Linked DNA regions of Neodiprion lecontei. The protein of the gene in region 1 interacts with the protein of each later gene in a pairwise test. Links are inferred from orthologs where the notes say so. Each region holds a gene or a part of one and is shown on either strand. Other genes may lie near its edges.

The links.
Region 2: the proteins of hexokinase type 2 (region 1) and uncharacterized protein LOC107217150 interact in a two-hybrid assay, tested with the Caenorhabditis elegans proteins (2 studies listed by BioGRID). The link is inferred for Neodiprion lecontei from reciprocal best matches to the Caenorhabditis elegans genes hxk-1 and ZK829.7.

Annotation. Positions count from the first base shown.
Region 1 is NC_060265.1:31,235,654-31,251,119, reverse strand, and holds the start of hexokinase type 2, read left to right. Parts: upstream 1-7,334; 5' UTR 7,335-7,511; coding exon 7,512-7,631; intron 7,632-11,540; exon of another isoform or gene 11,541-11,724; coding exon of another isoform or gene 11,725-11,751; intron 11,752-15,466. Other genes in the region: BRISC complex subunit FAM175B, read right to left, coding at 203-557, 672-812, 995-1,307, 1,467-1,557, 1,777-1,863.
Region 2 is NC_060264.1:32,216,043-32,232,199, forward strand, and holds uncharacterized protein LOC107217150, read left to right. Parts: upstream 1-5,780; 5' UTR 5,781-6,088; coding exon 6,089-6,150; intron 6,151-6,757; coding exon 6,758-7,495; intron 7,496-7,861; coding exon 7,862-8,279; 3' UTR 8,280-8,877; downstream 8,878-16,157. Other genes in the region: dynamin-binding protein, read right to left, coding at 10,614-10,805, 11,166-11,810, 11,889-12,071, 12,144-12,764, 13,158-13,307, 13,459-14,934, 15,955-16,073.

The DNA.
Region 1 (15,466 bases):
TTCTAATCACAGCCCCCTCTTGAAAAGCTCAATAGGATTTGAGAGAAAACAATACGATAATCAATAATGTCACAGAATGGGATTCAAAGACACGACGCAAAATGATATTTTCTATAACATTCCATCAGAGTCTACCATTTCCTATCGAACTTTTTCAGTAGGGGTAAAAACCTGTACATCCATACGTTAAATAAATGCGTACCTGTACCATAGACTGATTTCTAACAGCATAGCTGTCGTCATTGAAGATATCGATTAATTCGTCTCGCAATCTGTCGGCAGATAGCTTGGATTCTAGCTTTTTTTTCTCTCTCTCTTGCTCATTTTTTTCCCACCGACAGTTCAGATTTCCCAGACAGAAAGTTTCTCGCTCTCTCGTCTTACTGGATAACTTTTTAGCGAGTATCTTTGTTTGTAATTGCCATACTTTGTTTTCTAACTGCGCAACCTCTCGGTCTGAAGCAGATAGTTTTGGGATTAAATGTTCCAGATAATCCTCGGCTGCTTTCTGAATGCACGTCACCAATTCTGTTCCAGGAGTTTTCACCACATCTAATCTGAAGTAAAAATGTTCTTCATTAAATGCACGGATCGCGGATCCGATGATCACACTTTCCGAAAGAGGGATAATGACAAATAATTTTTGAAATATGAACACATTCTTTTCATACTTTAGGGATTTGATGATTTTCGTAAATGCATCAGTTTCAGACAGAGATTTCTGTAGAGGTGTGGGTTTATAATCTGATCCATCCGGGCGAGAAGAATCGTCACCCAAGTTATTTATTCTCAATGGTATTGGCACAAAATCACTGAAACAGCAAACAGTATGAATAAATACTGTGATTTTATAAGTTTATGTGAAATTGAAAAAGAACTGGTTCCAATTAAATGTCCTGTAGAATTAATTGCGTGCAACATCGAGCTTCTGAAAACTTGCACGTTTTAATAATCTGTACGAGAGTCCACTCTATGCGTTAAATTTGGGTATTACCCGTTTTTGTAGCGAAGAAAAACATGTCTAAACTTGTGCGTTCCACCCCGATTCGATACAGAGGTGTTGAGAAGGCACATGGTAAAGTATTCGTGATTCCTAGCATCGCTGTTGAAAAGAGTCGATCTAAGTTCCTTATGTAAAATTTTATCCTGTAGGGTGGGTACAAGGGATCCATTTCTCCTGAATCGAAACCATCCAACGATGTGTTTGCTCTTATCGCGGATGAATGCTTTCAGTTTTTCCTTATCCACATGACCTATGCCGTTGTAGAGCGAATTTGTCGATGGATAGGTAATAATCGTGCTTATATCTGTAAAAGTAACAGCAATCTTGCAATCCTTCGTAATGTATAAGCATTTGAGTATCAAAATTTATAGTTGAAATGTCGCTTTCGATCCGAGTCGAGAGTGAATGCGCAAAATGTAAGTGTACCATTTGTGGAAAAACAATTGAAATTGCAGTGACCTACCGACATGTGTTTTTATGTTTTCAACTTGTCTGTCGGAATCAGTGACATTTTTGGTAACATAGACAAGAACTTCTCCCACCAGGAAGCCAATCTGTAGAAATACAAAAGAGAGTCACAGTAATGAAACACGCTTGAAACATAATATTGAGGATATGAGAAAAACATTTTATATAGCCGAAACGTCACATGCAAAGAGGTTATGATACTGGCTACGTTGAAATCTCCAATTTAACAGCACATAGACCTTGACTACTTACAACATATCGTTGCAAATTATTGTGTGGAATAATTTAGGGCTATTTCTTATTACCTGATCGCCCATACTTCGCACATTTTCGTATAAAAGCAAAGATAGGGCTGCCCCTGACACCGTGACAAGCGATCCGTTCTCTGCCATGTTTGAAGGACGCTGAATGAGCCCGTCTTGCGCGCGCATTATTTATTGCATACAAATTTCTCACCGTGTGCAGCCAATCGTTATAATCCCACGGTTGATTCTATGTTGGAATGGAATTTCTTGCATATCGAAAAAACTACTCTGATTCCATGAAGAGAAAACGCGAATGTAATATATGTCAATCAAGAGTCAAAAAGGTTGCCCCGGCGGGGATTTGAACCCCGGTCTCCCAAGATTATTCGGATAAGTCGGGCGTAATTACCACTATACTACCGAGGACAATTTTGGAAGGCGCAAACAAAGCTAATCAACGGCTCAAGGGATGCGTTTCACTGTCGTTGCGATGAACTTTACACGAATGTTGACTAATAACCAGCTTTTTGTCTTACATTTACAGGTAGCACGTTACCTAAGATGTTGTAAATACGTTCCAATGATGTATAACGTGGCAGGTGTCTGTCGCGGTCGGTGCGATTTTTATTCGTCATTTGACAGTATGAAAGATTAAAAAATGACGTAATGCAAGATTGTGCGCATGAACTGACTGAGAAACTCTACGTTGAGTTAAATACAGTCTCGTTGACGTTTGTCAAAAAGATGTTTTGACACTCCGTTGTGGATGTTTTATACTGTACTGATGGAATCTCCACAGATTACGAAATGAGTCGAGAAATCGACGACCAATAGTAATTCACCTTGACCACAGGTGTAGATGTAGGAAATAAAAAAGAATTTGCATCGGCCGGGAATCGAACCCGGGCCGCCCGCGTGGCAGGCGAGCATTCTACCACTGAACCACCGATGCCTTGAGAACGTTGGCGACGTTGCATTTACATGTCCATTTGTTAATATTCTGATTTGGGATTACTGACAGCCGGCAGAATAATGCAAGTCGTGGAGAGCAAAATGTGTGTTCGCATGTCGCCTGTCCGTTTTACTGATTTTGTGACGCACTGCATGTAACTGCAAGAAAAATGAAATCTAGGATAGCCGAAGGTAATAGTCCAGTCCTTATATCCAAAAAACCAACCCTACCCGTGAATAATTATTTAGTGAATTTTTTTTTCACAGCTGTCTCGAGGGGGGGGGTCACTGTCACACAAATCATGCTTATGCGTATATTCGAAAAATGGTTTTTAGTCTATAATGACTGGACTATAAGGTGAGTCCTGTTTGTGGGCCATGTACTCTGTTTGTTACAGGTACTGCAAAGTAAATTTGTGTTTGGGGAATGAAAAAAAATTGTCAGAAGTGGGATTCGAACCCACGCCCACAGAAGTGGACTGCGACCTGAACGCAGCGCCTTAGACCGCTCGGCCATCCTGACGTACGTTTCCAAATATTTGTAATGTTTATATGATAACGGTGTACCTTATAAGGTCATCCTTATACATTTCGGCAAGTTTCAGAATTGTCGCTTGGTTAAATGTAATTCGAGTTGTTTAGATGTTTTATACTAGACAACAGCCCTCTTCTTGCATGAACCTAAAAATGAAGCGTGTCCTTCTCAGGATAAAATGTCGAAGCTTGTACAGAATATACAGTAATTATAGAAATCTACATGTATGGTCGAAATGGTTTTGACATTCCGTTTGGATGACGTTACAATCAATGCAGATTCTCTGTGCGTACCGAATAAATTCAGCAGGCGTGAACAAATTGACCATAAATCACACGGGGAATATGCACGAGCGGCCTGTCAAAAGGCAAAGTTTTGCGTAACTTTTATCCAGTTTCTACAACCTGTACAGTATTACCTGGTCCGTTCCGCGCCCGGCATTCAAGCCCGACGGATCATACCTGCAATGCAAAAGGAAACGTCAGAGATTCGATCGAATCAGACTACTCGTTTACGTTCGATAGTTCACCGCAAGGAAATCATCATTCTTAGGGGTGCACGTGATGTGAGTGCGCATTGTTTTTGGTCGCAAATGGGCGCGATCGGATTTATACGATTTACATTCCCGAAGCGAAGCCACTAACGAAGTCGATGTTCCAAAAATACCCTTCCCCACGCTCGATTGATGTATTTCCGTCCCGTTGGCCCGATGGGGAGCCAACACGTTAGCCGTGACGTAAGTCGAAACGCAACGTAACGACTCGTGTGCCTGTATAATGATACCTCGATCTACGCTTGAGTTACGTGGTGCGCGTCGCGTCTCGAGGAAGAGGCGCATCCCTGTCGTTAGGTTGGCTTCGTCTCGCTGGCGGGTGGAAGAGAAACAGAGCCGAGCTCCGAGGAGCTCCTGTCTCGTCGTCGTGCTCTCGATTCATTCATCAATCGTCGCGCGTGATCATCGCGGTCCGCGATTAAGGGGAGGAGAGCCTGACCGTACCTCGTATCGAATACCAATACCGATAACACCTTCATTCTCGCGATCACTGTGACCAAGGCCGTCATGGAAGAGGAGAATTGGGATTATGTCAATGAAAAGTGGGAGCACGTCGGTCCAGCTGTGAGCATTTTTCATCTGATATAACAGTAATTATACCTAGCTGCGGTTTGGTGACTCGACTCGCTGGCGTGGTTGTACGCCATTCCTGCGTTACTACTGCAATCGGGACGTGTCGTACCGTCACCGATTCCGGTCCCCAAACTTCTACACGCTCTGTAATCCACGAAACGCCTTACGTACAAAACAATATTATGATCAGGTGTATTATGCGCGTTGTTCCACTGAACTGAATATCATTGCCATCCGCTTTGACTGAGCATCGAGGGCGCTCGTGTCACCTTGGTATTTGAATATAGTCCCGCGAGTTCTCTATTGCAATGTTCCGATCTCTCATTCGCCCGATCATTCGTTCCCATCTTCACGAGACGCGTCGTTCCTCTTCAGGGACAATTAATGCAACGCAATTAATGAAATTGCGTACTTGTTACCTTTATCCATAATTTTACGACGTGATTGCATGTAAGTACACGGGCTTAACATATACCGCGTATTGTAATTCGCGTGTGAGGCGTTAATAGCACGGGGGAATGAAGAGAATGGAAGGGGTGGAGCCGGCACATCCGCTCGAATTCGCCGTCGGCGTGCGTCTAATTGTAAGATGTGACTTTCCTATTTAAAAATGAACTAGTCTTTGGGTCTTTGGTCTTTCGTCGGCTCCGCGGAATTTCTATTTTTGATAGTCACCGACGCGCGTGTTAACGAGTGCCCAAGAGTTCCGTCACAAGGGTTCTTTCTGCAATCGAAGAGTGTTCGTAGCTAGCCCGTACCTCTAAAACCCAATTTACACGCCGCGTTATATTTCCTCTCATTGGCTGCGCTGACAACAGGCGAGGAATAGTAAAATTTTTCGCCGCTAATTCTCGTGATTAAAGTATTACAATATCGGACAGATTAAAAAAACGAAATGAACCGTCTCTAGTGATTCTAGTAATCCATACAATCCTACGAATTTACAAAATCATCGTCATAAAACTATATGATATAAGGTGATGCCGAATATAATATAGATCGATATAGAGTATAGGAAGTATTTCGCGAAGTTGTTATTGTCATTTGTCATGTAATAACTAGACTTTACAAGTGCAATAAAATCGCACACCCGTGGTGTTGCTTAGATTTCTGCACGTTAAACGGATAATCCCTATGATACTTATCATTTGTTGATGAGTCTGATACGCGGTCATTAAATTAAGACACGAGTTAGAAGAAACATGATGTCGAATCGTGCCCACATCCATTGTGGTTTCACTGGCAAAAAGGTGGAACTTTTCCATCGCATTGCGAGGGTTATACGGCTGCTTTATCGATTATTGGCAGATGTGTTATCCATTAGGTATATTGCCGATAAAACTCTTTTGATCAAATGTCGTTCATCGTACAGTATCCGCATATTGAGACATTGCAGAAATTCAATGCGACCGTTTGCAAAACAATATGGGTCATTTATTGCTGAAAACGAGTACGGCTGACGCAACCTTTTTCTCTCTTACTCTCCCTCACTCTATTTCTCTCTCTCCCTTTCGCGTTCGGCAACGAATAAGTGACCCTGAGATGCAACATACATAATCACTCGAGAAGTGCATGGAATTGTAGTTTCCAATTGCGGCAGATCGAGAATGAACGATTTTAAGGCATCACTTCACAACACCGGGTTATAACGGTTCGCCACGGGGAACTCGAGGCAGTTCGACCTGTTGTGCTATAAAAATTACTGCTCCTAAGATATATCGTTTTATTGTCAAATCGGAATGTTTCAAGGTCGGCTTATAACGGATATTGAAGTGTGCTGATAAGATTATAAATTATTACACCGCGCGCGAACAGGGTTTAGCTGTCACATTTACTTAGCAATAATGCTATATGTATTTATTGCTTATTTTACAGCTGCAACGTGATCTGACACTTGCCGCAACGAGTATATGCATGTATATAATTCGAGCTTATCCGGTAGTGCGAAAACAAGTCTCGATCGAATCGCACAGGGGTGGTTATAAATTGCTTCAACGAAGGAATTGTGCAATATTGCGGAACTGGTTTCGTTAATTGCTGATAATTTTTAATGATAATAAACTCGTGGGTCTTACTCAACGTCATTGCGAAAAAAGTTTTGTTTTTCGGTGAAAGGAACGTGAGAATTCGTGATTGACTTTTTGCCACATAGTTATAGACGTGCTGTAAGAAATATTGATAACGCATCGCGGACTATTTATCCTTTCAAGACTCAGGATAAGATATTGTGCAAAAATCAACCCGCCGATTATGTGTACTCAAAAACCGACTATCAAGGTACTGTGACGTATGCGAAACAAAATTGTTTTTTTTGTAAAGCTTTTTAAAGACGTAAACGGGGCCTCGACTTTACGTAATTGCATGCAACGTGTTCGCACGTACGATACACTAATTTTGTCCATTAATCACTTGTAATTTACCGAAAAGAGAGAAAAGCAAAGAGTACGGCTGAATCCGAAACAAGTTACGTGCTGTTCATCATATGCACTTAAATATCTACAAAACGTATAGTAAATTCTTCATCGGCGTGATTATTTCAGTTAAATGTAGAAGTCGGACGACATACCTGGAAAACTTGTAAATGTCAGGATCGTTTAAAAGGGGTCATGGAAAACTCAGAATTGTCAGGGGATTTTCAATTGAGTCATGGAAAAACTGAAAATATCAGGTTTCTATCGTGGGAAATGTCAGGAAAAACAGAGTCTCAGGTTCTGGAATATTTTCCCCAAACATTCGGTGGCAAACATGGGTGAGAATTGGGTAATATTTTGAATAGGAAGTAAGAATCGAGGGCCCTCGAGCCTCCCGAGCCACCCCCGTTGGATACGTGCGTGCAAACACACGCCATGGAATCGAAACAGGCCGTGAAACGGCTTGCCATTGGCCCTTGCACGGTGGGATAGCGAGAGACGGGCAGGTCAGGTTCTCCCCTCCCGGTACGTCCTTATAATATAGATTAGGTCCGTACCCAGAGGATGCTGCACACTCCGTTTTCAAACGCCGCGAGTGTTTCTACCCCGCTGTCTGATTCTTTGTAAGAATATAAGTAGCTGTTACTACGTCAAGCCAGATTCCGTGTAATACGCGCTGAACAATTCAGTGCATCCGAGACTGCATCGCCTGGTATTTAGAAACGTTGGTCAGATTAATTGGTGGAAGTGAAGTTACTGGCTGTCGGGCAATATGAAGACGAAGAACGGTTCGCTTCTGAGCAAAATCTGCACATGTTACGCGAAAAATGGCGAGGCCGCACCGGTTCAGAACGACGCAAACAACTCTTACAGTCCCGAACCGATAGACGAGGTAACGTTGATTCTTGCTTTTTCGCCAATTAATTAGATGTACGCAGGTACTTGATCGTCCGTGAGCCGAGACGATCAGCCGGCGATGATCAGTGACAGATGCAGGCAGCGGTTGCGCAAAACTTGAATCTCACGTTGAACGATTTCGATTGTTTATCGATTATTTTCTATGCTCCGTTTCGTTGAAATTCGCAGTGACGTGATCGATTAGGGGAAATAGTCGCGTTAAGGTGGACTTGAAAGATGATTTATTGCCAATTTGATTGTGAGTGCTGCGCGTGAAAAAAAATTAAACATTTATTCGGGTTGCAATTGTTGTACGTGTTATAAATACGTCGTGAAATGGAGCACGGACACTCGCCTGGAGAGAATTTGGTACGAATTTGTCAAAGTCGATTACACGGTTTATAATATATACTCTCACTGCATGGCCAAATTATGCCGGGCTATGCCAGGATTTCCTAATATTCGTATTTTTATTTTCTCGCGAAAATTTCCGGGTAAGCATATTGAATGAATCCGGGCGACCTTGAGAGATAGCGTTGACCTTGTATCTTGAACTTTCAGCCGGTGACTGTAGTCGTGAGGAAGCCATGCTGCAAAGAGCAAAAGAAGGCAGAGATGTGCGCGCCTCCTGTTTCCGCAAAGGCAATTGATCGACTAACTGTTTTACTTATTCACTTAATCAACGAGGCAATCGTTACCTTTACTCTAGGTATATTACACGCCGATATTCATCATCGGCATATCCAAACGTAACGAAACAATTTACCTTTTTTCGCGTAACAATATAACATATACTTATGTATACGAGCTTTCGTAAAATCCTACAAATGCGTTACAGGTGCAAACATCTCGGGCAAGGTAGAATTGAAATCACCACGTACACTTGTTAACAACTCTCCGGCTTTATCTGGACTTGGTTAATTAATGTAATTCCACAAATGTCGTAGTATTTACTAAAATAGTCCTTCCCGGGTGAGAATTTTAATCGTGAACATTTTTTCAAATACGTATCGCGAGTCATACGTATATCCAACCGGTTTATACCGATAGACTTATCAAATATTACCCGTGTTGCATAGGAAATAAAATCTACCCAGCTCTTGCCTTCATCTCTCTCTCTCTCTCTCTCTCTCTCTCTCTCTCTCTCTCCCTCTCTCTCTCTCTCTCTAAAATCCTCCTTCGACCCCACCGTTCTACCGATTCTCAGACACGTTTGATTTCCACCCTGCTGCACACCCACGTATCCGTCGAAGAATCGTCAAGCAGGCGACCTCTATACCTATAAACCATTCGACAAATTCACCCGACATTCGCACGCCTGTAATTAAGCGCCTTTCACTTTCGCCCGAAGGTTGTCAGCGTTATTCGACCAGTGGTCTCTTGGTCCTCGGGGTACGTTCGGCCTCTGTTACCAATTCCTGCTGTTCGACTCCGTTCGTCGCGAGGCAACAAGCGCCGCGCCATCGGTACACATATTCGTGTTTAACCGTCAATAAGTCCTGATTAATTTCGGACCTTGAAATGCCTACGCTTATTCAATAACGAGGCCTCGAGCCCTGCGCGAAATTTCGGAAGCCGATCAGCGATCAAACACACGAGGGCGGAAAAATCCATGAGGTAAAAGGCGGGCAATAATCGACCCGCGCGTCCTTTCATCGGACGACTCGTCGAAAAGGCGCCTGCGTGCAAGTTTTTTTTTACAGCTTATACAGCTGTGACGGTGTAGAATCTGATATTCGTCTGCAGTATACCCACGTATTGCCGCCGCAGTCTGTGGCTTTCGATCTCGGAATCCTAGCGACTGCGGAATGTAAAGGGTAAGGGTAATATTTCCTGCAGATGTAACGAAAAGATGAACGTGACTGATTTTTCGCCAAAATTGCTCCAGTCCATCCCCCGTTCGTTTTCAATTCGCGGTACGTCGCGAATACTCTTCACGGCTTCGTATCGCGTGTACCAATATCTCGGAGCATCGGCCCCCGCGCAACGCAACGCGTGGCGACTTGTCGCTGGCGAACGACGCCGTCGGATATACAGCGAGTCGTGACCGAAGGTCACCTTGGGACGGAGGAGCGTCGCGACGCCGGGGATCGATATCGAAGTTGACGATCCGCATTCCTTGCCAATCTCAAATCCCACAGGTACTAGCTCGATGTTGGTGTATTTTCGATCGTCGCTCGAATACCGAGAGTCATCGTATGCCGTCACGTTGTATATGTGGTCGCAATATCGGATTGTGAAAGAATTGTTTGCCGTTCGTTAATCGCTCTCTTAACAATTGCTACACCTTCACGGGACCGTCTCTGTACGGATCGATATATTTTGGCTCTTACACTTGACACAATATCCCGCTGTGGTCATCGTACAATTCCGTCGTCGCAAACGACGGACGGCTGGCATTCGTAATAGTGCATATACCTACCTATGAATACGTATAATTATACATTAGGGTGACGTGTTTAATATGTATAGAACGACGCTGACCACTGGATGTTGTATTTCATACGTTACATACGGCGTGGGGATTTCAGTTTTACGAATCGTATGTAACGTTGGCTGGCTCACTGATCGGAAGCAACGCGTGTTCAGTTTTTACGATATCCTCACGTGCCGACCTCTGCGTTACCTACACAAGGTGTACAAAATTCAAGTTTACAATGAATCGGATTCGGTTGACTGGAAGAATACTCTGCCGTTAGACCGATCACTTCTGATCGCAAGACCGCTTATACCTATGTACGACAAAGCAAGGTAATTACGAAAGACATTGGCGAGAAGGAAAATCTGATTTCCAATGATTTTCGTCTTTACCAACGGTTCTCTTCGAAGTCGACACAGGTTTATTACTTGTACCTCAACGCCATTCTATAAATTTTAGTTATTACGATTCTGTAGGGTTCGATTCGCGGATCGAGAGCGTCGCTTTATCTTTCCAACTTTGATCGACTCGGAAAAATTATGTTCACACCGACGTGTGCGCAATCAGTAAATTACTCGATATCAGTCACAGAAAGTCTTCCAGTTCCGTGCCGTTCGTTATATCGTTGATAGTTGCCTCTTGTCCGCTGTCACGTATGTACGTGCATACGGTACAGTTATTGGAACGATATATGCTGCGCTCTTTTCCTTTCGAGGATCACCTACCCGCAGACTTAGAAGTTCACGTTACGTCAAACGGATTGGAAAAGTGTCAATTATACGTCGTTATTGGTCAAACGTCGCATCCCTGCAGCAGCACCTATAGACAATTTGTTTACACGGTCGCGTCTGCATTGGACGATGATCAACGGAACGACGAAACATTGGTTCGATCTATCGATGATCGGTAATTAATAATAATTAAGCAGCGACAGTGATCGTAAATAATTATAGATATCCGTCGCGCTCTGCGCTGCATCGGCGGACGATCCTCGGATTTTTCAAAGGCAACGAAACCTGCATCACGATTAAACGAATCGCAAGTGCGGCATGTCGGGCGAGGGCAGCGCGTTGTCTCAAAGAAAATCCTACTATTCTTCCACGTTACCCGCACGTTCGACTCTAAGGTCGGACTGGCGAACGAACGAACAACCATTATTAATACCTGCCTAACTGCCTGCATACGTATATAAGGTCCTGTATATAAGACACGTCGCGTTATTTTAAAGCCACCGTGGCGTCCTTTCACCGTCGAGCGTGAGACGTGTGCGCGAGTGTGTGTGTGTGTGTGTGTGTGTGTGTGTGTGTGTGTGTGTGTGTGTGTGTGTGTGTGTGTGTGTGTGTGTGTGTGTGTGTGTGTGTTCGTGTTTGCGCGTCGTACGTACTTAGGTGCGTACTTCCCTCCCTCCCTGCCTCTCTCTCTCTCTCTTCGTTTTCCTTCTTCTTCGTCTTCTTCTTCGTCTCTCCCTCGCGATTATTTCGGTTCACAGACTTGCGTCGTTCGCCGCACGAGTCGCACGCTCGCGTTTCTCGGGTTAGTTTCGCAACTTGCATTAGCCGATCGTGCCTCGACGTCGCCGGACCACCGGATACCCGAAACCTTACACCGCACACCTTACACCGCACCTCAGCACGTGGAAATTTTCAAACGGAGGCGAGGAACACGCATCATGAAAAACACGACGCCCGAACAACTCGTGAGTCTCTCTGTCTAACTCTCTAATTGACGACTCGCCTTTCCTTTTAATCGAGGCAAGAGGGGCAGGGGAGGGGGCAGGAAAATTAAGCAAAAACCCGTCGAAAGGTATAAACGCGCGTATAAACGTTCGCGCGGAAATCTGCCGTTTTTTTCTCCTTTTTTCATTCCCTTCCACCTTTCGAGCTACAACGCGTCGTCTAACTGCGCGGCAAAAGCCGACGAAGAGTTGATCGTAATCAATCGAAATCAACATTATGCTTAACAATCTTATCTTGATGTTACACGCCTGGTATAAATCTCGACGTCTGGGCCCCGTTCTCTCGGATGGCGACGTCGTTGTGATTGTTGTGACTCTGACGATTTTATAAATGCATAACGTATTACGTATAAAGTATATTCTTAAATCCCCGATCTCTAATTTAGCTCGAAATTTCTCGACAACGAAACAACGAGGTACAGCAATGACCCTTATCCTATTCAAATTTATAGGTAGACTTATCGAAGGTCAGTTCAAAAGTCGAGGCTGGTATACGTGATTTCGGTCATCGGTATAGGATCGATCGTTTGGCGGTAAGAATTTTGCGACGGACAGTGCCGACGCAGACCGCGTGCCCCTCACACATATATGCATATTTTTACCAGTCGCGCAGCTTGACGTCAACGCCCGTGTTGCTTTCAGCTGATATTAGCCGAGAAACTCTGTTCAGACTAATTTTCAACAGTCCGCGCAACACGCGCGGTCGAGAAGTTGAAAGAAGAAAATCTTAATCCCGATCCCGGCGCGAGAGTTATTCGATAAGTCCTCCCAAGAGTACATGTATTATTTGAATGATGTATTTACGAAAAATATGTTCACATTATACAGATAACATGATATGCGTATAAATAATACAAATTATGTGCGGTCCATCGTGCTGTATCCGAAACATGGCGTATTATATACCGCGTACGTGTAACCATAATTCTACGTAAAATGTACAATGGGTCTTCGAAGGCGTGTAGGTGTAATTAGAACGCACGCTCGGCAATATACATACATGGGTACGCGCGCAACGGTGTGTGTGTGTGTGTGTGTGTGTGTGTGTGTGTGTGTGTGTGTGTGTGTGTGTGTGTGTGTGTGCGTGAGACACCGCTTGGAACGTTCGTACACGTTTACAGTTCGCGCCTTCAACTTCGACGCCCATACCTACTTGCATACTGATCTACCTCACGCATGGTGTATACTGCGTCAATAATCATAACATACGCGGTCTGACACGTTTAGTTATACTAAGAATGACCGAGGTTAATCGATTTTCGATGAAATCACATATTTTTCCTAGATTAATCGAGTATAATTGATTATTTTTTATGGTAAATTAATCGATCGACTCGATGATTTTACCTCACCATTGGTTTCCGTTCTTTACTCCTATGAACGACGCGATGCGGTATTAATTTATGTGATCAAAGTATCAATTAGCATCATTGTCTTACTTACCAAGTACCTTATTTGATACAACGAGTGATGGATAAATAAATATTTTCACCTGAAATTGAAAAATGGTTCGAATGAAACTATAAATTGAAAAAAAAAAACTTTACCGCTATCAAGACTGCCTAATGAAATTTACGAAATGTTTGTTTCGTAAGCACCGTTTCAAAAAAAAATACGAAGTAATCGATTAATCGATTCATTTTTACCGATTCAATCGAATCGTGTTCGATTATTATCATCGACTTGATTAATCGACGCATCGGTGATTTTTAGCTCATTGTCAGCGTCCATCGCTAGCTACATACCAGCGTTATGCCCAGGCCTATTCGCGAGTTATATTCGTAAATTAGTAAGCGTGGTACGAAGGATGCATCATGTTGTTCCATATGATTTTGCGAAATAATATTTTCAGGACTTCTGTAATCGTGATTAGATTAACGAACTCACTTAAGTTTGGCCGCGAAACAAAGTCATTTTAGTTTGATCTTTCACTAATATTCGGCCTTTAACCAGCTTCCTGGTCGTATAGGTATATAATTTATTTGATACACGTATTTTAATATTCATCGTTGATTCTTATTGTCCCTTTCTCTTCGCGAATCTTTACATCCGACTGCCTATGTATATAACACATAAGTATAAAATTCCCGTAAATCCGCATTTTTCAACCGTACACCGCAGGGATATCGAACGTGTGTGCCTTACAGGTATACGGCGATTGAATTATGCATTCGACGATCTTATCCGCAGCTTGACATTTTATGTTATAATCATAATTGATCTCGGGTGCGAATGCTCGAGGCCAAACCTCTACATATCCATATACAACCGATGGTAACACGAAACAGGGTGAAACTTTCAACGTTTGCAAAACAAACTTGTCGCTTAGAGCCTAAATGCACTACAGGTATTGCAATTTGATCGCAGTACATAGCTGCCTGGGTTGCAGCAAACATGCTTACAGGTTGGAAATGTTATGCGGTGATCGCTTTATCAGTCGTAAAATTCAATATTATACTGCCTCTGTTCCTGTAATCCTACGACTGTTACAGGCATTCGCGTGGATGCAAGCGAAACTTTTACACTTTTACGCCGTCATTTTGCCCGTAATGTATAGACGATCGTGAACGCGATCCAACGCCTAGAAATGTATGTGTAATAAAATGGCATACCTAATTTCCACGATCCTATGGATGAGAGGCAGGGCAGGCGGGGGTTAGATCGACGAAAGGCCGATCAAGGCCGATTATTATCGCTGTTTTATATTCCGGCCCAGCGTACTTTCCAAGAAACCATATCGTGACTCTTCTTCGTTGCTCTGCATGGCAAGGTTCAAATTGATCACCGGTTACGCAATTAACCGATCACGACGTATGTAACCTATGAAACAGATTCCAATTTCTGCCACTTTACTTATTTCGTTAGATCGCTAGAAAATCCATCTCTCGTACGGTACAATAATTGAATAAAAATGCATGCGATCCCTTTGGAATTTTTTCTCAGAGGTGTATAGGTATATATGATATGGAAACGAAAAGTATCTAACGAAAATTAAGTAAATCCGTAAGCATGCGAGTACAAGGAAAAACGTTTAAGATCGCGTTGGAAGAAAATGATAATTTCGCGCCGGGTGCTTCCTCGTATAATAATGTGCATGTATACGCGCGTGTACACGGCGAGTCCGCGGTGTTAAATAATAATTTTCGCTAGCCGGATACAATGACAAATCGGTATTGCGGAAGTGTTTGCCCTCGCGGCGGCTGCAACAGTTATTTAAAACAAGTACTTTTACAAGAACCGGTATTGCGATTCGGAAATCTGCGACGTTAGTTTCAATGCTGCACGCTGCGTGTGTGTGTACAAACGCGAGTATAGGTACGCGGTTTCGTACGCCTGCGAACCTATATTCGATTCAATGTGTGTATATTATTTCTATGCGCCTACGTACACAGGTATACGCACACTACGCAAACCGGTTCGATGCGCGCAACTATGTATCCAGTTGCGTCATTTCTGTCCTGCGATGCCGCGACGTAGGAGAAGATCCGCGTATGTACCTTCCTGACCGCGGGTTGACTTTTTTTCTTTTTAAATCTTCTCCCTCTTCCGTGTGCGTAACTCATTACGCTTATGGGTTTACCTCGTGTACGCATTATTTTCTCTCGCAATTTTTGTTCGCCGACTTCGCCAAACATCACGTTTATAATGTAACGCTGGATTTTCACATGAGTTTTTC
Region 2 (16,157 bases), on another chromosome or scaffold:
TACGCCGGGACGTTTGCTTCGCTCTTTATTCAATTTTTTCTTTTCTTTTTTTTAAATCTTTTGTCCTTTAGTTTGTTCTTTGTTTCACAGATAACCGTTGTTCCAGATTCTTCTCTTTTATTTCATCACTTACAGGCACAGGTGATCGCGGTGTCGCTTTTTTTTTTCTTTTTTCATAATACGACGACGATCGTGTTATACGATCATAAGTCACCTTCGTTTGTTTCTGCAAATGCACTTATCGATATTTGTTATACCTTACCGATTTTAGGTTATGTCTGCAATTACTGAAATCGTGTACAGAAACGCGAACGGAATTTTTCTCGATGAATTCTTTCTCGCGTATAATACGTGTATTTTCTCTTCGATCATCATCTGGCAATTGTCCATTTTTTATACAATTAAATTCAAGGTATACGTTTTTACCGTGATCAGTGATCACGTTGAGCAGACTTGTTTGTTTCACTTTCCAATGCCGTGATGTTCGGATATTTGTGAAATGTGGAGCAAATGATCATTCGAAATGATAACACGATCGCTTTAATCGATGATCACAGTGTCGAAAAAGCACTTACGCTTTTTGTTGACACTAAAACACAGTAATCCAGGCATCAAGCTTGATACCGTAATGCTTTTTAATATTTATATTCCAAATTTGCATGTAACGGCCCTTGTAGAAATAATGCTTTCTGTACTTTTTATCACACATTTACCAAACTTGGACTTCTAAATTTTTTTTTTTTTTCTCGATAGACATTTCCAGGTGTAACTAACTGAATTGAAATTTCCGTGTAACCCAGTCTTATAAAGTTGTCGTCCTTCGCTAATTTTTTGAAACTGTTGAGCGGTGATTCAGACATTAGACTTTGTACCATAACACCTACTACCTGCAGCTTTATACATTCGCTGATGTACAGAGTGAATCAACAAATAAGAAACATTCGCAGAATCTATGATTGTGGAACTGACGTTGCATTAAAATAAATCCCGTTGATTAAAACATCATGCTCTCAGTTGAGTCACCCTGTATATAGATGAAATATGATGCGTGGGAAGTATTGACAATAACATGGCGAGAGTGAAGGAGAAAATTAGGAAATATAGATACGTAGAATAGAGAAAAGAAATTTGGCTAGATGAGGTACGAAAATTTGTTAACATTTCTAAAAACTTTTAATTGTTACTGATAACCTTACGGCCAGTTTTTGTAATATCAATTTACGCTCCGCGATGATTATGTAAAGGTAATTGCCTTCCAGTTTACGTCACTGCAGTTTCTTTTTTATATTATACAGGTATACTCTGGTTATAGAATTGCAGACAGTTGGATTATGCCGGACAATTGATGCACGAGGAAATCGAATTATCAATATAAATACAAATAAATAGTATATAAATAATAATCGCGATACGTTGCATTTAACAATATAATCTATTACAGGGTATTCGGATGATCGAATATTTTGCACGTGATAATGAATACGTCTTATCTTGTTGAAGCGCTTTAGGATAAATTAGTTTTAAAATTGTCATTACTCATTTCCAACTAATTTCCATGCGAATCCGCACGTACGTTTATACAAAGCAATTTCTACTCTACCTATTAAACGTATTGTGGTTTAATTTTAGCCCATAAGCTGAGACTGAATGTGTACATGAATATGGTAATTTACCAACGATTTCTATGTTGGTATTGGTCAGTTTTGCATTCTCTCGATTCGTTAATAATCAGTCAATTGTAAAATATACAATCACTTTCACATTAATTGAATAATTAGGATAATGCGATTTCGTTTCCTTCTCTCTCTGACTGTTTTCTTTGTGGAGCGTTCCCCTTATTTTCTTGTTTTATTTCTCTTGCTTTAAAATCCGGGGAAAACATCTCTTTTTAGAATATTTGAACTACAGAAGAGAGCGAGGTCGTAGTTCGGTGTATATAAACACATAATTCACGCGCGACTAAGGATTTCCCTGCAAACAGCCATCATTGCGAAAACAAGGACACAACGTGCCTACATTTTAATTATAGCTTTGCCTGAATGTGTACACATCGCAAGCCATGAATAATATGTATATAACACAGAAACGTCGGTGTCTTCATTTTGAGCGGAAAAATTATCAAGTTGGAAATAATATATAAAGCAGATGGTTGTTACGAGTAACGACCCTTGTTTTAAACTATGTACTATTAATACGTTTGCGTATAAAAACCAACCTCTATAGATATTTCGTGGAAAGAAACAACTGCGGAAATAAACATCCGACGGGATTTTATTCTTGGATATAATATTACACGAACTGAACAGAATACACATTCAATTCCAGATTATTCCACAACTATAATTGAGCGAAATTTCTATTTAAATTAAAAATTGAAATACAATACCGAAAATAATATGGAATTAGGCAAAGGAAACTAGACGTGTTTATTTACTTCTCATCGAGTTAAGAACGTAAAAATGTATACATCATTTGAGCTGCGTAATTCTTGGTATATTCTTTGATCCATACTTTTTCAAAGAATAATTGTTTAGTTCAAAGTGCTCAATTTTGCGTATACACATTACACTGCCGTGTTTATTAACGCTTTTATGACACGGTTCAATTTTGTGTCATACTTTCGAGTTTTTTCTGAATTCTATTCCAGCGAGAGTCTATTGTATACATGAAAGCATGTATTAACTACCGAGCCAAGAGAGAAGAAAAACACAAAGGAGAAAAAGAGAACCGGCGACGGTTGAGAATACACAAAGATCGTTGTAAGTATTAACAAAACGTTAAAATTTTAACCGACGAACATAAGACGGTGAATATTTAAAAATTTATTTTTCCACCCAGTATTGTATAGAATTACTTTCCCTAAGTCACTTATCGACGCGAAAATAATGGCAGTAATTAATATCGATCACTCTGATGCTGTACCCAAGTTGCGTATGAATTCAACGATGTATCACGCATTGGATACACCACGTGGCTGATGTAGATGTGTATGAGAATTACAATACAAACAAAGATACACTTGACACGTTGCGATGTTTTGCAAATTTCGCCTTGGCCTTTAGAACCGCCTTATATCCACGTGCCGATTGTGTACTTGAGTGAAAAAAATTCGTAAACAAGTTACTGTAAATAGATTTGGAGAAATAAGGAAACAACTGTGATGAAAAAGATATCCTAATCACGATAAAATCGATACAATGAAGGAACGAAAAAAATAAACAATAAATATCGAGAAAACAAGTTATCACCGTTTGTTATTGGCTATAATTTTTTTCATTTAGAATGAAGATCCGAGAGATAAAATCGCAGCTATGGGTGGTACTTGTTTAACAGTGTTGAAACCAGTTCGCAATGATTAACAACCGAGGGGGGCGTGATTTTGACAAGTTCTCATTCAATCTAACGTTAAAACTACAACGGGCAGCTTGATGTATAATTATAATATACGTATACATATAGGTCCACGCAGCTGTAGAGTAAACTCGAATATCAACGCGAATTTATCACTTTCGTCAAGGGAACGCGATAACGATTCTGACGTGAAGAAAATAATACGATAAAAAGTTTAATTTTTTTTCCCCCCAACTTATCAATGATTGAAATATGTTGATCGTTCTTCCGAGAATCTCCACCTGCCATCGTTGTTACAATTCGATTTCTATAATATATTTATAACGATTCACAGTTACGCAACTTCCTTTCGCCATTAATCTCTCGGTATTCTATACCTGCACTGGATTGTCGTAGGACTTCCTTCCCTAAATATAACCTCCCTTATATCCGTCTATATCAGTTTTCCATACCGTTTCGATGATATAATGCAATTTATTATTGGTATACTCGACGTATTTAAAGAATGGCTAACGATCGTTGAAGTACAATATATATATATAATAATTCTGTAGATGAAAGCGCGTAGATAATATATATATATATACGAATTATTATACACGATTCCGAAACGCAAATTGCTATATAATAGCTTCCTAAATAGATCCGTTTGGAACGATGGCCCGATATATTCACGTTCTTCTGAATAGAATAAACGATTCTCAATCGTAACCTGCATCACCGAATAATTCACATCCGGTACATATAACAGGATGCTTGCAATTACCTCAGCACTGAGACTGAATCGAATTGCAAATGATTAATCATCGGTATGTAAAAACGTAAATATTACGTTTCAAGACTGCACGCGGGTATCGACCTGGCTATTATAGGTATACCCACACAAAATACTCTATTGATAATTTTAGAATTATTCGTACACGCGTCCGATCTAGGTGTAGGTACACGTCCTTCCCAGACGGCGTGGCGCTAGCCTAAAACTCGATCGGCCTTTCCGTTGAATCCATTCTTTGGTACATAACGACGAAACACTTCTACACCTAGAGTTGCCGAGGCATAATATATTTACGGTTATACGTAGGTATGTGTAGGTATGTATACCTATAGGTGAAAAACTCTGAGCATTGGCACGCGTCCCGTCCGTGGACGCCGGTCTTTCTAATTCCGAAAAACCGATCCTACATATATCCTAGGTCCCGTGAGATCAGGGAGAGAAAAGCGTTATCAAGGTTTCTCTAGATATGTCACAGATCCGAAAGATCGAGATTTCAAATGAAAAATGAGGGGTAAACTGGCGGGGAAAGGAAGAAAAGTAACGAAAATATCATACCTAAGAATATGGAGTTATCCTAGAGGGACGATACATCACCATTGTTGCGAGTGATGACAAATTCTGCCGCATTCAAGCATGCACGCGTACACAGCCTACAGAACTTTGTGTGTATTACGAATTTTGCATGCCGTTTTAGCTGTGTTATGCAACTATTACTATGCTCGAGATTAAGGGGGTGCCCTGGTCGATTTCGTCGTTGGCGGATATATCTCCTAAAAAGGTTTTAACGTCCCATTCTATGCGCAATTCTGAACAAAAACACTACGATACATCTTCATTTGACGCAGAGATAAAGAAATGGCACGCATTCTACGAAATCGCGATGGTAAATTCGTAGAATTTAAGCCATTTATTTATTTCTACGTCAAATGAAGATGTGTTGGCAGTGTTTTTGTTCAGAATTGCGTACAAAATGAGGCTGTTAAGCCCTTTTTAGAGTTTGAGACACGTGGACTCCGATGTTTGGTGATATCAACTTTGATACAGGCTTCGTTATGTAATACATGCCTAAAGGTGCAGGATTCTGACCTCAGAGGATTCAGCTGCAACAATGACCACGGCCTTCTAGGTAAATGCATATATTCTTTGACACATATATTACTGATTACGACGGACGCAGGGATCAAACAGGAACCTAAAATGCTCCCAAAGAACGTTTCGAATGTTTTTCAAACAATTCATCACACGGATGTGTGAACTAAACATTATCGTTGTGACGTCTATTAGCGTAATATGAGGATATAGGTAGGAACGGATGACGTTATTTTTTAATATCGAGTTGTGAAAAGGACCTAATTACTTTATTCTAACTCGATCCTCGCGGCTCGCCGCATAATTTAGTATCCTTGTTCGGCAACAGCAGAATTTACCCAGCAGTATACCAGCTGTTGGCTGCCTACGAAGAGAAAAAGAAACGCAGTCACAAACACAGGCGCAAGGTTTTGGAAGTATCGAGATATGCGGAGGCACGTCGTGTGAACATTAACCGAGCACGTGGCCTGCGAGTGTTCCATCCACCACCAGTTCCTCTATGGGTTGAGTTGGGGCGTTGCGCAGTTTGTTGGGAGGTATAAAAAGGAAACGGAGCGCAGCGCGAGCATTCAGATGTTCCATGTAACGTACCGCGAGAGGTGTGATACGCTTTGTGTAAAGTGATCAATTTTCCACGAATTTGTCGCAAGACTAAATAAAAATAACTATTACTCTTTCGAATCTGTGAAAAAGCACGCATCGCACATCGCGTTATATTTCTCGTTTTTTAAACGGTTATTACCGTAACACGGAAGGGACGCCGTCCTTTTCGCTGTCTATTGCATAGTTCTATTGTCTATTCGCTGCAGTCTACTACCGGCTAACTCGAGGACTGCACCAGTGGCTTTTGTTTTTCTTCTTCCTCTAAAAAAAATGCCTGTCGAACTTGTTCCCGTTACTCCATTGGCTCATTGCGCAGCTCGTGAACCGCTTAGGTACGTTTTCGTATTTCGAATTTTCCCCCACTTCGTTTTAAACACATCGCAAGTTTGGGAAATTTCAATAGAGCGTCAATTATTTTATTCGAAATCCTTAGTATTTTTAGCTTTACGTATCACATGCCTAATGCACTAAAGTATAAGGAGGGTACTCTATGCTTCGGGTTTCGAAACATTTGAATCTTGGATAAGTAGCGTGACCGAATAGTTTTCGAATGTTTAAATTATGGAACGTCATCGTCAGATAGCTTTCACCGGCGACTCTATACCTTCGGAGAAGCGTAGAGATTAGTGTTTCATCGACCGTTAATTTTCACTTCCTCTCAAAAATGATACCGCACCGTAACTCGCAACTAACAATAACGCGGATGACGAATAAGAGAGAAATTAACAGAAAACCCTCGAAATAGTCAAGTTTCGAAAAAAGTCCGCGAATATTTCGAAATTTTATCTTTTATACGTTTTATATTTTATTTGTTTACGAATTGATTTCTTAAACGGTATATTCGTGTGAGATTTTCCAAGACCTTGCTATAAAAAGAAAACCATTAATATTTACCAAATGTCTGAATTCTGGATCAATATTCTCTCTTTTTTTAAACAGGGAACCACAACCTCGCAAGATGAATAAATTGTGCCGCCAAGTTTCGATTGAAAGTCCTGGACTAGCAGGGCGAGACTGCGTCTTCAGCTTTGACATCCCAGTTCCAGACGTTCCTGCGAATGGTGCTAGAATCAGGGTGGTTTGCGCAGGAGCGTGTTACCGGCCTCGCCGTTCTCCAAGCCAGACAAGTCTAACGTCTGTATCGAGCACTGGAAGCCTGCTATCGCAGGACGTTTCACAGGAGGGTGACTTACCAGTGAATCTACCTCACTACGGGGTCAGAGACGCAGCCCTTTTCCCTGGGTATGAAGTCGCTGGAACCGTGGAGTCCCTAGGTAGCGAGATAAAGGAAAACTGTGGTTACGCAGTCGGAGATAGAGTCATTCTTTACCCGTACGACGGAGTTCCCAACGGCTATGCAGAATATATGGTCGTCCACGACTTGAAGTATCTCATCAAAATACCTGATAGCATGGAACTCAGCGTCGCTGCTATGCTGCCCACCGGTGCTCTCCTGGCAATGAACACTGTCTTTGCCGCCCACGAACATGTCCAAGCTCTTCTCGCAGAGAGGGGAGACAACAGCGTCTGCAAGATCCTCATTGTTGGTACTGGCGGACTCGCCCTTTGGGCAATGAGAATCGCAGCTTATCACTTCAGCAATATGAAGAACAGAGTTACCATCACCATCGCCTCACTCAAGGATGACGGACTCATGATGGCTAAGGAATTCAAACGGTTGGTTTACCACTTATTTTTTACGCTCATTAAATGTGTTACCTTATCTTTGCCATGATGTTCAGGTTATTTTCAGCTCAAATTTCACTACCGTTTTAGATGTTATCGCTCAGCTTTATCGTGACTGATTTTAACGAACTTTTACAATCTTGATCAAATATTATAACATTTTCAAGTGGCTTGAAAGATTTTTTGATCACTTTTTGCTTAAAATTTCACGAAACAATTCCTCCTTGGATTTTTAAAACAGATATCACTGCTGAAATGAACAGATTCAATCTGGCTACTTGAAATGAAAACAGGTACACTAAATACAAGCTCTGAATGGCTTTTGACTAACCGTTATCTTATTTTTATCAATCGCAGTGTGAACGTTGTTCAATGGAATGAAGATTTGTACGAGAAGCAGTTGATAGAACGGACGATGGATGCGTGTCAGGGTCTTGTTGACGTTGTAATAGACTTCGGAACTACATCACGAAGCCTTCACCGCAGCCTGCAATGTCTTGGGAAGGGCGGTGTAGTCTTCGTCATTCGAGAAGTGGCTGATCGTCTTTTGCCAAAGTTCAGCAGACGTGCAGAGGAAAGGCAGCAAAGCATCAAGCCAGTTGACCCTGGTTCCTTGCAACAGCTCGAAGAACTTGTACAGTTGGTGGCTTCGGGACAAATTGAACCTCCTCCACACACAGTTTACCCTGCTGAAGAAGCCTTCGATGTTGTACAGAAGCTATGTCATTCCGAGATCCAGGGAAGGGCGATTCTCCGCTTTTATCCGACAGATTAAGGAGTGGTCGATGATATGCCCTGGAGAGAAATCTTGTTGATTTGCTTAACCGATCAAGTCTCTCACGTTCAAATGAGAAGAAATTTTTAATCGTTCCTATGTGACTAGTTTGGAGAAAAATGTTTCGTCGTTGCGTTATGAAGAAACGCATTTATTTACTTGACGCAGTTCATTTCATCGTCATTTTTTTCTTTTCCTTAGGAAACTGACTAGTTTTCCATGAGTATCTAATAATTGGCATCAAGCAGTTGTAGCCATTGATAATTTATCTCGGTTTTTTTTTTTTTTAGATCGCAGTAATTTTATAATTCTGTTTTATTGATATGTTTTAATTGTAAGTGTACTCGTTATGGTCATGATATTTATAGCTTATCATGTGCAGTAGATTTATTTTTTTGTACCTCGAATAAGACTGTTTTACTAATTTAAGATTACTTTTTTTTTGTGTCAATTTATAATTGTATTTTTAAGAAACCCTGACGACTTAGCATTTAAGGAAATGTATTAGTATTTACTGTCTGTGTTACTGTAACAATTTAAGTGAATATTATATGCCGATAAGTGATAGTATGATATAGTAAATGTTTTTTTTTAAATACGTTATGAGCTTATTGTTTCTTTTCTCCATTATTTCAACTCCTCCACTTCACTGTCACTTAATCTATCTTACATCCTTGTGCCAAGTACAGCACAGTCAGAATATTCTACATTCAGTTCTTGAAGAACAAGTTTTTCTTTCCCTCCAATCAAGAGGACGCAGTGATAATTACTTGAAAGTATAATTTTAATTCACATGATAATTCATTTAATTTCGTACACCTTAAACTTTGTAGAATAACGCATCAATTGAATTGTATATATATACTATACATATACATACCCCAACACATATGCATGTAATATACTATATATCGTGTATGTATGTATAGCATAATAAGGTGTATACGATAAATTCAAATGTATACATTCATCAATTTCTTTTAACGCACAAGAACAATTCTCAAAATTCAATCATAGATCGAATATAATAACAATGATAAAATAGTTTATTACTTTGAATTCTTAAAATCTGGAGTTATGTAAATGGCACGAGTCAAAATATACAACTAATAATCTACAATGTATAACTGTTTAAAATCTTATTATTAATTATAAATGTATAGTTTATCTAATTATTGTTGGCTGAACATATAAACATTTATATATTAATACAGAGTGATCCGAATTATTCACGGACCGTCCTCTGCTTTATGCACTTAGGTATATGTATAGTCTGTATAGATTTTGCAAAATAAACTGCAATACAGAATATCTACGCCATATAAATGGATCACTGTACTCCCTCATTTTATTATAATCCTACATTATTCCTGCAAGCTGTTCAGCTTGCGCATAATATTTACATTTTGTAATCTCTATACGTCACATAAAGCTATTTCCTAGCCGAATTATTATTTTTTATTTTCAAGATAACGATAATCTCGTTCATAAATTACGTTTCTTCAAATAGGACATAAGATAGCGTTATCAGTTATACCAATATAATATTTTTCGTTATTTTAAGCTTTATATTCTATTTTCTCTTTCCAAAGGCGATCAATTGTCTTTTGATAAAAGTATGAAATAAAGAAACAGCAAACTAAATAATCTTTCTCGTGTAATACTTGTTGAACCGTGGTTCAACAACTCTGTATCCGATAAAACTGTTAGGCATTATGTAATACAAATAGCTTTCGGTTCAAAAGATTATCGATTAAACCATTAGAACCCTGTACGTATTTATTATACAACAATACTAATTACTGAGTTCATTAAGTCACTCTAGATTGGCAGGAAATTGAAAAATCTCTCATAGAATATGATTGATAGTGAGGTAAAGCCCTACATAAGTATAAAGTTCACATTGCCGACATTCGGCAAAAATTTGATACTCAGTTAACGTATCATTAAATTCTTCAAACATCTCCAAAAGTGATTACTTAACCAACTATTAAAGTACTATACAGTAGTATTTGACTAGGCATTGAGAAGCCGATATAAAGATCATGAAAGTCAAAAACTATGGGTAAATTATTATACAAACATTCAATATGATAATGAAAAATATGTAACAGGTTCATTTGTAGATATAAAATTTCTCGAGCACATTTAAACAAAACTGCAATAGTCGCAGTCCTCTATTACTTTTTTTTATGAGGCAACAATATTCGGCGTCCTTGTAATCATCTATTTATAATATATACATATATGTAAATAAATTTTTTTTATCATAGTAACTTGATAATGGTGAAATTTCTTGTATTCATTACCTCGTTTTTTCACGTGCATTGTCACTCATATCACTGCTTCAGGAGGGCCTAGATAATTCTTAGGAACATAGCCAGAAGCTCCAGAGCGATCTTGAACCAACCACCAATCATCGTTTTTCATTTCATCACAAGGCCTCAAGAGTCTTAATGCCTGGCCTTTTTTTATAACTAATGTGCCCTTCATTCCTCCGTCAAAATTGTAGAGCGCGTAATAATACTGCAACAATATAATGATACTTGAAATAACTCTCACAAGCATAGATACGCGGGTATTGGTAATGAAAATCTGGCGCTGAGACATCTGGTGGCAAAAAACGTATTACTCCAAACGGGCCATATTTAATTTTAAAATACCTCTGTCATTGGATTTTTTATAGCGTAATAAATACGTGGGATAAAACAAAAGCCTCACAGCTTGCACTGAATTGTCCGTACTCTTGTATTCATATAATTGACCCAAAACCACCCCAAAACCATCCACTGGCAGTCCAATTCTCGGCGCCATATTGATTAGCAACGCCCTCACATTCATTCCTAATACATAGTTCAACTCTCTTTGACACAATACTATACGTACAACGTTATTCAAATTTTGGTAATGTTGCAGGACACTGGTACTACCAGTCGTGGTATCGTTTTGAGAATCGTCAACAGCATCATCCAGGTTTTGATAAAATTGCGACTGCCTTTCCGCCATCGAAGACGTTTTATTTTCCTTTTCTGGCGAGTCCATGCAGATGAGATCCGGTGACTCTGTACGGGTGGCTTCTGGCGAGTCCAAGGATATGAAATCCGCCATTGTGTCTGGACTTATCGATGCCCTATTTCCATTCGTACTGTTGACGCTTGACGTGCGGTGCAGTACCTCTAAGTTTTGGCTTGGTAGAAAACCTTTGAGTGCTCCGTTGTCGACAAACCATCTTGTCGAATCTCCCATTGGATCCTGATTCTTAATTACAGCCACTATGGTGCCTCGTTTCGCTCCCATGTCCAAGGAAGATGTGCTTACCACATTTTCTTTGACTACGAACAATCTGTCCACAGGGTATTTGTTTCGTAAGAGATTTCTTTGCCTCTCGCTTTGTTCGTTCCATGCCACCTGGCTCTCCTCTATCCGGGGATTCGAGCCGGCAAAACCAAACCGAGTTATTTGGTTCCAGAGTAAATTGTGACTTACTAAAAACGACTCGAGAATATCCTGAGCCGTTATTTGAGTTGCCGTCTGTGATTTGAAGAATTAAGAAACAATATATTTACAAAGTTCAGGGAAGTTACCACATTTCTAAATCTCTCAACTCACCTCCGATAATGCTAAATAACGTTTGGTAACTTGTCCACTAAGGAGTTTTCTGGAGTTGGCAAAGGCGCCGAAACAATTCACCAGTATTTTAGTTGATACATTGATCAAGGTCGGGAGTTCCTCTAGCAATTGTTCGTTGAGTGCCTCGTAGTTGCTTTTTGCGCGAAGTAGTTCGTCCTGAAACTGCAATCAGTAACACGTACAGAAATGTCATCAAAAATATAGTACTTAGAAAATATATCAGGGAATAATTACAATCTTGTTATCTCTGTTCTTTTCGTTCTTGGAAACTGCGACATCATAATCAAGGAGTTTGTCGTATCTTTTTTCAATAAGTAGCGCTGGGCCTTGGAGTAAGTTGATCAAGTGGTTGAGAGGACTCGAGACTCTTCTTTCCAGGCAAGATTTCAGCTCTTGTAAATAATTTGACCATATGACAGAGCGAGTTTCGTTAAATTTCCTGACCTCATTGTTAGAAGTTCCTTGGTAATACTGATTTATCAAATCCGATATTAATTGACCGCTGACAGATTCTTCGCCTAAGTAAACAATGCACTGCTCAACATCCCTGGCCAATTGCCAGGTTGATTTTTCAACAGATTTAAACTGTCTTTCGTACTCATCAAAGTCAGTATCAAGTGCTATGTTTGTCAGTCCCAACGAAGCAGAAAGCTTTGCACTGAGTCTGGTTGACTTCTTTGCCACGGAGTGCATGTTCAATTTAGCCATTTTTCGCATCAACGTGTTCTCACCCTCGAAATACTTTGTCACCAAGTCTTTGCGACGTTTATATTCGTTTATGTAGCTCGCAACGTTCGTCATAGCTCGCCAAGCTTCTTCTATTTCTGGTTTATCAGGGTGGTCATCTTCTGTGCACTGATAAAGTTAATATTTATTGAAAACCACTGCAGGATTCAAATAGATTGAGTTGAATGGAATTTATTAAATTACAATTTAATAATCGATAGTCAAGACTTAATTTCTAACTACAAAAACATCCTCCACATTCTGCAAGGTTTGCTGTATCTTTTCTTCCGTACGTTTTGGAAAAAAATTACTTTTTTGCATTCTAATAAAAAATATGGATCGAAACTCGTACGGATAATTTTTTTCACTCACGTGTTACAGCACTCGACTTCGGTGCGTGCTGTAAACCTCACGTTTCGACAAAAAGCCTTATCCATACTCGTTACGAAATGTACTGTTAGATTCTTCTCTAATGGTATTGCGACTAAAATGTATAATGAAATATTACTAGCAGCATCTTACCTTCACAAGTTCGTACAGCATCAAAGGATATTTTAATATTCTTTGCACAGGTTTTATCAGAATAGAACTCATGTCAAAGCAAGCTATCTGATGGCGCAATGTTTCGATACCCTTTTCAAACACTGCCATAATTTCGGAGTTATTCTCGTACTGTATTGAAAGAGAATTTGAATCACACTCATGTAGAATACATCACTTATCTTAGATTAGAAGAGTGTTGAAAACCGTCAATTGAATCTATCCTTTTAGTGGTAAAACATTGATCTATTACTGAAAAGTGAAAATCAAGTTGTGAACATACTTTTTTCAATAGAGCCAACGCAGCCTCGTGATTGCTGCAGTATTTGACGTAGACCATCTGCAGTTTATCAGACATTTTTGAAAAGCAGGGTCCAATGGTCTGGTATTCCTCGTCGCACCCTTTCATTGCCGACAGCATCTTGTCCAATAGATCCTCGGCAATTTTAATCACGTCCAGCATGTTTCCGAACAAAGTAGTCACATCTATACCCCGGGATTCGAGCATGCTCGGATTATACAGATTAAAAGTTTCGTAAGTCATCTTCAAATCTCTAACGTACTCCTTTTCCGTTATCACCAGCTCAGTTATGACGTTCTGTCGATGATCGGCTTTCTTCTGTTTGGCTTTAACTCTACTATCCGTTTCCGAATCCTCCACGTCCTCGACAGTTTCCTCTTGAGCCTCGACAGTCATAGTTTGTCGTTGTAGCGGGACTCGGCCCGGCGCTGGAGCTGGAGGTGCAGGTCTATGCGGACAGGAGAGTCTCTTGCTGTCGAAACGGTCTTCAAATTTCAGTTCTTCTGTCGCCTCCTCATTTCTCAGCACAACACTCTCGTCTGCAGAGTTTCCTTGCTCACTTTGAAGATCGAAATTGGCGTTCAAATAGCCCCTTGGACAAAGACCAACAAGTCCATCCTCATTTTTAACACTGACCCAGTCACTATTCGCCATTTCTACAACCGTGACAAAATCACCTTCGTTAACACTCAAATCACCGTCCATCTGGGCCTCGAATTTGTATTCTACTTTAACGACGACTCCAGGTACCAGCGAATCTCCTGCTTTAGAAACCACCTCCACCTCCTCTTCTGCTTCTTCATCTTCCACAGATTTCGACGGGGATGGTTCCACACTATGCGGACAGTCCACGATTATGTTGACATAGGAGACAGGGAAGATGCCTTTCACATTGTCTATCGATCCCTCTGCCCATTCTGAATCTTTGTGCTTTATCAAACGCACAACTTCTCCAGCTGTGAAGCTCAGTTCGTTCGGAAACTGAGCGTTGAATGGGTATAGCGTTATCGCATACGGATCAACGCCAAAAGGATTGAGATTGTTGTCGACAGGAACGTTATAGTCATCAATTTTTCCTTTCACGTTGTCATCGCCGTTTGTATCCTCAGGGGCAAACTCTGGAAATAGCTCGTAATAGCAAGGCGCAGGTTCCTCGTTGTAGTGCATAGCTGAGTCGTTGCCAAATTTTTTTTGGAGCAGAGGATCGAGTCTTGCGGCTACCACTGATTCCTGTTCATCGACTGACTCGTCGCTCACACCTTCTAAGAACTCGACAAATCCTTGGGGAAAAATACCGATTCTACCATCGTCGGTTTCACCGCGACACCATCCGTCCTCCAAGATTTCCGTCACTGTTAGTATAGTGCCTTTAGTTAGATCCAACTCTTCGTCTAGCTGGGCTTCCAGATTTGCCGTCACTTTAGCCTTTCGTCGTGCTATTTTTTTTCTCACACCCTTCTGAAAGTTGAACAGTTGATCTTGACATTTAACTATTTGAATGATTGTAGAGCACTTCGATGTGCTTCTCCTTGGTGATATCTCTCAACTACACATCTTGTCGTATCCGTAATTACTTGATAAGATATCTCCAAAAAAAAATACACGGCATTGGATATTCTCTGCCAATGATCGTTATCCACTCTAAGTAAGTGCAATAAAAAAAATCTACCATGGACAGATAACAATGTACTGCATTCTGTCATGACGCAAAGTTAAGAATATTCCTTTAGCGTGGAGAAATTATAATAGTCGTGTAGTGTTTCCTCAAGCATACAATCAGTGAACTGTTTTCACTGTCTTGATGTGGCTTCTTTGAATACCTACTGCTACTGCTAACCCATGTATCTATTATCTACTGTCTACAATCCATCCATCTATCTATCTATCTATCTATCTATCTATCTATCTATCTATCTATCTATCTATCTATCTATCGACTAGAACTGTCCACTTGAAAATGATAAACATTCGGAATCTTAATCCCAATCTGTCATTCAATCTTTGATCAAGCTGACCATCAATGCTGATGAAATTTTTTAAGCGCAGTTTCTTCAGTACACTGGGATCTGAAGTTAAAATTGTTACAGATTTTACATGAGTGTAGCAGCATTGTTGCATAATATATTCGAGGAACTGTATACATGAATACAAACTGTACAACTGATTCTAGATGGTGATAAAATAATAGAAGTAATGTAATAAAATGGAATCCTGGTTTGCGTATTAAGATAAAAAAGGAATAAAAATTATCTACGCAAATTATTACATACACGTGTAACATAACAGTAACAACTATAAATTTCAAACCATCTATAAATCTGAAAGAAGAAGAATTACCTTCTTAGATATGAATCGGAATGAGAGTCTGGTAAAAACGACCTGTCGTGTTGACTTGTTAGTAAAAATGGGATCCTCTGTGAATTTGTTTTTGCAACCTAGTGAGGCAAGACATTATCTATGCATGTATGGATTTGGTACCTTAATCAGAGCTGTATCCAATTTCCAAGCATGAGTGGCAGGAAAAATTCCACTGTGTGAATCAGTGTATCCAGATATCCAGCCTGGTTCCACTTCGTTTGCCCCAAAAATAATTTCGCCTATTAAATAGATGATGCATAACTATGGATTAGGATTTATCATAAGCCTTTATTCTAATTTAACAGACTACAGCGATAATGACT